2 linked regions of the Rattus norvegicus genome follow. The protein of the gene in region 1 purifies or fractionates together with the protein of each later gene. This does not show direct contact. Links are inferred from orthologs where the notes say so. Each region holds a gene or a part of one and is shown in the gene's direction. Other genes may lie near its edges. The genes, in order: Pidd1 and Casp2.

Region 1 (4,498 bases):
GCTCCACTGAGGAGGATTCTGGGTGTTGGCTTCAGTATTCACCAACTAAAGGACTTAGGCAAGATCTCTTATCGAAACTTTTGTTTTTTGTTCTTGTGAGATCCACACAAGTCAGGGAGGAAAGGCCAATAAACTCACCAACTAGGCAGTTGGCCCACAGTGATGTTCAGTGGGAAAGCATCTGAACTCGGAAAGCTGGAGTTAACTGCAAAGCCTGAGAGGCAAGTCCTCGACTCTGGTTCTCAACCTTCTTAATGCTTTGACAGTTCTCACATTTCGTGACCCCAACCATGAAAGTATTCTCGATGCTACTTCATAACTAATTTTGCTACTGTTATAAATTGTAGTGTAAATATCTTTTGGAGATATAAGTTTGGCAGAGGGGTCACGACCTACAAGTTGAGAACTACTTTCCTAGAGTGGTTCCCCCAGGAAGTCCTTGGTACCGGCTAAACGTCCGTCCGGCATTCAAAGTTCTAGCTTCTGGCAAGGAGTGTGACAATACCCTAAGTTATCCCTCAAATTACTGTCTTAGAATGCACTTGGGGACCAGACTATGCAGTGCCATCACAGGTCTGGAAGGGCTGCAGAGATCTGAAAGTGTGAGTTTCCCTGCAGGTCACCTGACTCCCTGGTGCAGAAAACCGAAAAGGAAATGGCAGTAAGAGTTCGGGAAAACTCCTACTGGCTGGCCTGGAGAGGCGGAGCCGGAGGGGCCGCCCGCCCGGAAGCGCGCCGGCGGGAAGACAGTGTGGAGCGCGCCTAGACTGGCGGGGAGATCGGCGTGGCAGGTACTCAATGGGAGGCGGGAAGTTTGTTCCAGAGGCGGGACCAAAGCGACTCCACACCTACTGAGACCCTCTCTGCGTTCCCCATTTGACAGAGGTGTGAATTGGGAATTGTGGCTCAAGTGCTTCTGCTAGAGATCGCGATTTGAGATCCTAGCTCAAGAACCGCAAAGTCCTCTTGGTTCCCCTTCGCACTGTTTACTGACCCTCTCGGGCACAGTGACGCCTGCAGTGGAGGAGGGTCATGGGTTTTCCCCAAACATTTGGGTATGAAGGTAAAAAGTGGGTCCCTATTACAAGAGTCCTGTAGGTGGGGTCAGCGGTCACATGGTCAGATTCCAGAATTGAGGTAGGAAACAATTCTTATCCTTGGTCTAGCAGGATTCTCCAAGCTATGCTGTTCACAGAGTCACCCTGTCTGGTGCCCTTCCCAGGCAGAAGAATCCAGCCCAGATGCAAGCCCTAGGGCTGCAGTGACCACTCCACTCTGCCCCTCTCGTGCCCTGGGTTCTCGGGCTGGTGGTTTTAAGAGCTCCCCGGTTTCCAAACAGTTATTTTTTGCTCTGACCTGGAAGAGGAGCCTGTCTCCTACAGCCTACTCCTCCCCCTGCTTCTCCAGCTTCCATCAGCCTTGCCTAGGCAGGCTTGCTTGACAAGCTAGGACATGTCTGGTCCCCGAGGACCTTCTGTGGGTGATGGCTGCAGTGTTGGAGGGGCCGAAGCCAGAGGAAACTGCAGCTGCTGCAGAGGATGCTGCAAGACCCACAGTGGAGGCTGTGGCTTCCAGGCCCGGAGTACCTATTCTCCTGGCTGGGAACCAGTTGAATCTGGACCTACGCCCTGGGGGCTGCCGTCGGCTGCAGTACCTGTGTTCCCAGCAGCACACACAGCTGCTGCAAGTGGAGTTTTTGCGGCTCAGCACCCACGAGGACCCTCGACTGCTAGATGACACCCTAGCCAAGGTTCCGTGGAGTCTACTGCGCCTTCGCTCCCTGGTCCTCAAAGGTGAGTACCCTTGCTCCTGACCCTGTCCTCATCTCTGTCCCAGCTTTGACTCGACATCTTGGTCACAAAGGCCATCCTTGTCCCAGCCCTAGCTCCAGACCTCTCTTTTCCCTGCACCTCAGGTGTGAACCCCTACGCTAGAACTATTCCTTAGCCTTAGCCCTGTCACCTTCCTCCCCACAGTGAGGCTTGCTAGGCCCTGACTCCTGAGCCTAGAACCCTGTAGGTGTCCAGTTGGGTCTCTGCAGATCCCAGTTTTTCTGGAGTGATACTGTCAGCTTATATGATCTGGTGTCTTCTCTGTCTGCTTTTCTGTCTTTCTCTGTACCTCTGGCTGGCTTAAAAGGCAGGCTTTCTCTGACAGGGCTGAATGGAGGGTACTTCATCCCGAGGGCTATAGTTGTCTTTCCCACTTCCAGGTGGCCAGAGTCGGGGTGCCCTGGGTGCTTGCCTCCATGGTACCCTAACCACTCTGCCTGCTAGCATGAGAGACTTAGCCTGCCTGGCCCACCTAGACCTGAGCTTCAACAGGCTGGAGACACTGCCGACCTGTGTCCTGGAACTGCACAGCTTGGATGCCTTGCTGCTTTCTCACAACTGTCTCTCAGAGCTGCCAGAGGCCCTGGGGGCACTGCCTACCCTCACCTTCCTCACTGTGACACACAACCTCCTGGAAAGACTACCCCCAACACTGGGGTCCCTGTCCACCCTTCAGCGTCTTGATCTCTCCGAGAACCTTCTAGACACCATCCCGTCTGAGATTGGAGACCTGAGCAGCCTCAGGGAGCTCAATCTGGCCTCCAACCGGCTGCAGCATCTCCCAGCTTCCCTTGGTGAGTAGCCATGGCCTCAGCTTTTTTATTACCAGCCAGTTTCGAGCAATCCTCAGCTACTCTCCAGAGCTCCACTCCCACATGGCCCCATGCTACCTAAAATCTTTGGACTCTGGCCCCCTCCCTCCTCTTCCACAGAGGCCCCTGTGTGCTGTGCCTGGCCCCTTTCCTTCTACCTCCTTGGTTGCCTATAATTCACATGTGACATTGAAGCCTTTAGTTTGAGTGTCTTGTCAAGGTGACCAGGGCCACCATGAGTAACCCTAAGCCAGCACTTGCCTACAGCGGGGCTGCGGTCCCTGCGGCTCCTTGTTCTGCACAGCAACCTCTTGACCTCGGTGCCCCCTGGCTTGGCCCACCTGCCACTGATCACTCGGCTTGACCTGAGGGACAACCAGCTCAGAGACCTACCTGCCGAGCTACTAGACGCTCCCTTTGTGCGCCTGCAGGGGAACCCTCTGGGCGAGGCCTCTCCTGCACCCCCAAGTCCCCCAGGTAAGCTTGGCATGGGGCACGGCCAGGCTATAAGAGGGGAAAGGCACATCATCATTCTGACCATATGCCTGTCCCTTGTGCAGACATTTCCCAGGTTCCAGAAATGCCCAGGCTATTCCTGACCTCAGACTTGGACAGGTATTGGTGAGAATGTGGCTAGAACACATCTGTCTACCCTGCTTCTCAGGCCACACTGGGGTACCTCATCTTTCAGCCCTCATACCTCTTTTCTTACCCAGCTTCCTTGTGACTCCCCATGGCTGTTCTGTGACCCTGGCCTGTGGTGTCCGCCTACAGTTCCCAGCAGGAGCCACCACCACACCTATCACCATCCACTATCGACTGTGGTTGCCTGAGCCAGGCCTAGTCTCTCTGGGACCTCATGACTTCCTGCTTAGTGGTGTCCTGGAGCTGCAGCCTCATGGGGTGGCTTTCCAGCAGGCATGTACAGGATAGGTAGGGGGCAGGTATGGTGGCTGAAGCCTGGCCCTGTCTCACATACTACTGTTGCCTGACAGAATGTGAGCTTATGGCTGCTCTTTGTCCCCCCACGAGTCCGAGTCCGTCGTTGCCGTGAGGTAGTTGTGAGAACACGGAGTGACAACATCTGGAATGACCTAGAGACCCACCTGGAGGAAGAGGCCCCCAAGGTGACAGCTGCCAGGCCCTAGGGCATAGGGGAGAACAGCTGATCCTGACACCACCCAACCCGCCCACTGTCTCCTGCCCTGACCTTATCTTCCCTTATGTTCCAGAGGCGTTGGGCTCGCTGCCAGGTGCCCCACTTCTCCTGGTTCCTGGTCGTTTTACGCCCAGTATCCAACACCTGCCTATTACCACCAGAGGGAGCACTTCTGTGCTCCTCAGGTCATCCTGGGGTCAAAGTCACTTTTCCCCCTGGGGTCACAGAAGAGCCCCGGCAAGTCTCCATGCAGGTATTGGGCAGGGCAAGGGTGGCAGGAGGTGCGTCAGCGTACAAGAGGGCACTGAAATGGTTCTCCATCCAGGTAGTGCATATGGCTGGACTAGAGCTGAGAGCCCTTCTGGAAGAGTCAGAGGCGGCAGTGAGCCCCTTGCTGTGCCTTTCCCAGAGCGGACCCCCCAGCTTCCTACAACCTGTCACTGTGCAGTTGCCCTTGCCCCCCGGTGTTACAGGTGAAGCTGCATGCCACAGGAACAAAGGTGGATGCTCAGAAGGGGAGACAACATTTAGGGGGGCTTTAACCTTCTGCCATTTCCTGTCCAGGCTTCAGTCTGGACCGCTCCCACTTACATCTGCTCTACCGAACACCCCTGACAAGCACCTGGGATGACATCAGCACTCAGGTGGCACTGGAATTCACCCACCTGTACGCACGCTTCCAGGTCACACACTTC
Region 2 (4,344 bases), on another chromosome or scaffold:
CACAGGGTCAATGAAGCTTTTGAGGTGCCAACCTACGAACAGGCTGTAGTAGTGATGGATTCACAATCACAGCACCATCTCCAAGAGCTGGAGCAACCACCGCCTTACAGCAGTATCATAATATCCCCAGGAATTGAGGGGGCACAGCCTAGCCAACCAGAGAGGCCTGACACAGGCAGTCAGAAAAGGCGAGTGGGCTCAGAGGGGACAATGACGCCCAGAGGAAACCCTGGAAGAGCTCTTCGACTTAGGGGTCCACGAGTTGTGTCCACTGCTCCTGATCTGCAAAGCTTGAGGGTGGCCCCAAAACTGGAGCCTAATACTCCACCCCCTGCCTATGAAATCGGTTTTGCTCACCCTGATGATGACAGTGTTTTCTATGAAGATAAATGGATACTTCCCTAAGCGATGCTCTCAGAACCTATCACCTGTGAACTCATTTGCCCAGCATTTCCTAATATCTATTGAATCAGAAGTTGGTTTTGCCCAAACATCACAATTGATGCCTTCAAAGCAGTGGGGAGTTGGGCTCCGGAATGTCCTTCACAGTCGAGATATAAATGGCATACCTGGATTCTTCTGGAAACATTCTGGAGCCTACCTGACGAGCAGTACTTCCAGCGTAAGGTGGAAGAAGAGAGAGATAAGTTACCAAGAGAAGCTGGAGGGGTACCTCGGAGTGACAGTTGTGTTTCTTCTACTGCAGACACCAAGTCTCGCTGAGATTCCTGATGGGGATGAGAGATTCTAAGGGTGAGGGGAGCTGAAAAGTTTGCGCAAGAACGGGATGCTAGTAAAAACATAAAAATAACTCGAATCGAATCCCAATTCCAGTGCCTATTGTTTTCAATACCAACCAGGCAATCCGCATTACTGGGGACAACTGGTAGATAAGAGAAGTCTAAATAGAGACAGAATGAGAGGAAACAGGGTAGGAGAAGCGCGACCTGAAGCGCCCCCAGCCTGGGAGAAGAGCGCCTCCTAGTGCTTTCCATTTTTCTTGCACCCTGGCCCTGGAAGTTCAAGGCGAGCAAGGATAACAAGAGAAGCCCAGCCCCTTTGGTTTCCTGGTAGTTGAGGCCGGAGGGACCGGAGGAACCAGGGGAGGGAGCTGCGGTTTCCGCGGGAATCGCTAGCCAATCAGATCCCCGAGTGGGAGAAACCTTGTTCTTTTCCCGCCTCTTCCCGTTCTTCCTAGAGTCTACTCTCTTCCCATTGGGCTGTGCGAGCCTCAGCGACAAGTGTGCGCTTGCGCATGTCCGGGCGTGGGTGGGGCTTGCTGACTCGGGGCGGGGCCGTGCGCAGGCGCGGCGCTGGCGGGGGCTGGGGGAGGGATGCGGGGGCTGGCGCGGCCCGTTTGTTTGTTTTGTGGGTGGTGCGGGTGCAGCCCGGGAAAAGCTGGAAATGGCGGCGTCGAGCGGGAGGTCTCAGTCTTCCCTGCACAGGAAGGGGCTGATGGCGGCTGACAGGAGGAGCAGGTGAGGAGGGCAGAGTCGGGGAGGCTGCCGAGCGAGCGGCGCGCCTTCTTGGCCTGGTCCCGCGTGTGCAGAAGCTGTAGCAGCCTCCCTTTCTTTGTCCAGCGCAGAGGAATCTATACGAGAATGGATCTTATCAGTCCTGCCACATGTCGCCTGCGGCATCTCACCTTTTCCAGAGATGCTCTGTCCTTTTCCTTCCAATTCTTATCTGAGGACTTAAACTCATGTCTCTTTAAAAAGCAGAGACTGTGCAGACTTCGCGGCTTGGCCTCGAGCGCATTTGATTAGGATTGACTATATCATGTCCTGGACTGCTTTTCCATATAATAAATGTTTGTCAGAGAATTCCACACAGGTTTGGGGGATTTGAATCTTTTGAGAGGATTAGATGGTTCCCGTTTCTCCGTCTCACTCAGTCAGTTTCGATGAAAACATTTGCACAGGACGACACAATTTAATATTTCCTGTCCAATCCTCTAACATTAATTTAGAAACGGGAGCCATTAAAGGACATGAAATCAAGACGTTAGAACCCTCTTGGTATTCTTTTTCTCCATTCTGTTTTCCTTGGGTGTCCGAAAATTCCAGGTGACTGGAAACTTCGAGAAAGTTCGTATTTAAGCTTCTCCTGGTAGTTTGAAATAAAAGGAAGTAGCAGGTGCGGGGAGTAGGTGGTGCTTCAGATAAAACATCGATGACTGCTTCGTTCAAAATTCAAGCCTGGGACATAAGAGGATTTAGAATAGAATCAGTAAATTGTGCCTGGGGATGAAATTGTCTAGAGAAGATGCCCGCCCCCTCCTGTTTTTTGCAAGGGAGTTCTAGTGCAATGTCAGCATTTAAAAGCTACCGGGCTGTAATCCTAGTATCCTGATGCCTGAGGCAAGAGGATCAGAAACTCAAGACCAGTTTGGTCTCCTGGCCTAGTCCTGTCAAAGAGAATGAGGTGGTGGAGGAGAAGTCAGATGCTCACTAGGAAACCGGAGCACGGTGAGCAGAGTGAACCTGGAGAGACTAGTAGAGTGAAAGTCAAGGGAATGGAGCCTTTTAAGCAACGATGTCCCTAATGAAATAAGTCTGCTATATCATGCATCGTGTACCTAAGGATATACCCAACTAACAGCTGCAAGAAGATTAATTTTGTCTTCGCCAGATTCTATATTTAACATCATTACTGTGTTGTCTTGTATGGTGATTTTTAACTGAGATTTTAAATTCATGTAGAGCAGATTCTAGTGAATTTTGAAATAGCTGGTACAGTCTGAATACTTACTCTGCCTGGATACCTCTTGTTCATGCATTTTTCCCAGGACCCTATTTTGCTATCTAACTTTCCACAGAAAGGACTTAAAGGAGCCTTTGTGAGAGGGGCATTTGACCAGAGCATGGTTTTTCAGCGATGGAAGATGCTTCTTTGTTCCCCTATATTTTACCCACATTGAAATCAGGATTCTTGGTGTATAAAGTGAACTGTTATACTATCTATCACTCTATTGTCATCAGACCCTAAGCATTGTCTCATACTAAATAAACTGGAGATCAGAGTGTGTGTGCGTGTGTGTGACATACACACACGCACACACATGCATGCACACACAAACACTGGGCACATATAGGGTATTTATTGGAAATGGGATTCTTTTATTCATGAGCATAAGCAGGTCTCTTCAAATTTGAGAGAAAAACTAGGGAACCTTTCAAATACATTTGTTGCTGGAAACTAAATTACCAAAATAATTTAACCATTGCTTGCACTATTCTTGTGATTACAAGTGACACCATGTTCACCATTGGTATCTGCCTCCTATGGCTTTCACTCAGTTTCTACTTACCCCATGCCTTGTAGGATTTTGATCACTTTTTAGTATTAGTTTATCATAAAAAGGTAAAATGTTTTTGATATAATTTATGTGGGCAGTCTAGAGCAAGTGTGCGGGTGTGTCTGAAAAATATGGGTGTCAGCTTTAGGCTTTTATTACTTCATTCCTATGTTAAGATCATTTTCAACTTAGGTTAGTTTTCTAAGATAAAAAGTATGTCATGTTTTCTGAACACTGAAGCTTGTCTATCAGAGGAGTGTTTCTTTACATTAGTTTGACCAAGATAGCTCTTTGCTCTCCTCATGAGATCATTATCTCAGATAGTCTGATGTAAACATTCTCTAGAGGGTTATACCTTATTTGCTTAATAAGTAATAGGTCAGCCTATTACTGCTTAGTACATTTCTATTTTAAGAGATTTAACAAAATATGCCTTATCTTGCTTATTGTTTTTTTTACTCACTTCTTTTCTCCTCTTGTGTGTTCGGGCTCATACTTGAAAGTCCCTGTGTCTGCCTTTTTCTCTGTAGGATTTTGGCAGTGTGTGGAATGCATCCTGACCATCAGGAAACTCTGAAAAAGAATCGAGTGGTGCTGGCCAAACAGCTGCTGCTGAGCGAACTGTTAGAACATCTCCTAGAAAAGGACATTATCACTTTGGAAATGAGGGAGCTAATCCAGGTATCTGGGGAGAAAGGCTCCAAGAAGAGAAACTGGTCTTAGGCAAGAAAGACTTTGAAAAGGGTATGCTAAGGAAGAGGAATGCCCTTCTCAGCCTTGAGTTTGTTTGATAGAAAATCTCACCCGTGTATTCGCACTCTATAAACAGGAATTCCCAAGATGAATGAGAACACTACTTAGGAAGCTCATGTGGAAAAATAGCATTGTGGCTAAATAAATAAATGTAATTCAGTATTTTATTCCTGTGCCTTAGGCCAAAGGGGGCAGTTTCAGCCAGAATGTGGAACTCCTCAACCTGCTGCCAAAGAGAGGACCCCAGGCTTTTGATGCCTTCTGTGAAGCCCTGCGGGAGACCAGGCAGGGTC

The links.
Region 2: the proteins of Pidd1 (region 1) and Casp2 purify together in Homo sapiens (affinity purification with western blotting; 5 studies listed by BioGRID and IntAct, with this or other methods). This does not show direct contact. The link is inferred for Rattus norvegicus from reciprocal best matches to the Homo sapiens genes PIDD1 and CASP2.

Annotation. Positions count from the first base shown.
Region 1 is NC_086019.1:205,968,508-205,973,005, reverse strand, and holds the start of Pidd1 (p53-induced death domain-containing protein 1), read left to right. Parts: upstream 1-1,405; 5' UTR 1,406-1,483; coding exon 1,484-1,793; intron 1,794-2,212; coding exon 2,213-2,626; intron 2,627-2,898; exon of another isoform or gene 2,899-2,911; coding exon 2,912-3,121; intron 3,122-3,204; coding exon 3,205-3,259; intron 3,260-3,360; coding exon 3,361-3,562; intron 3,563-3,639; coding exon 3,640-3,771; intron 3,772-3,876; coding exon 3,877-4,056; intron 4,057-4,128; coding exon 4,129-4,276; intron 4,277-4,367; coding exon 4,368-4,498. UniProt on the Homo sapiens protein: Component of the DNA damage/stress response pathway that functions downstream of p53/TP53 and can either promote cell survival or apoptosis.
Region 2 is NC_086022.1:72,114,959-72,119,302, forward strand, and holds the start of Casp2 (caspase-2), read left to right. Parts: upstream 1-1,398; 5' UTR 1,399-1,404; coding exon 1,405-1,478; intron 1,479-3,828; coding exon 3,829-3,979; intron 3,980-4,232; coding exon 4,233-4,344. Other genes in the region: Tmem139 (transmembrane protein 139), read left to right, coding at 6-405. UniProt on the Homo sapiens protein: Is a regulator of the cascade of caspases responsible for apoptosis execution. Might function by either activating some proteins required for cell death or inactivating proteins necessary for cell survival.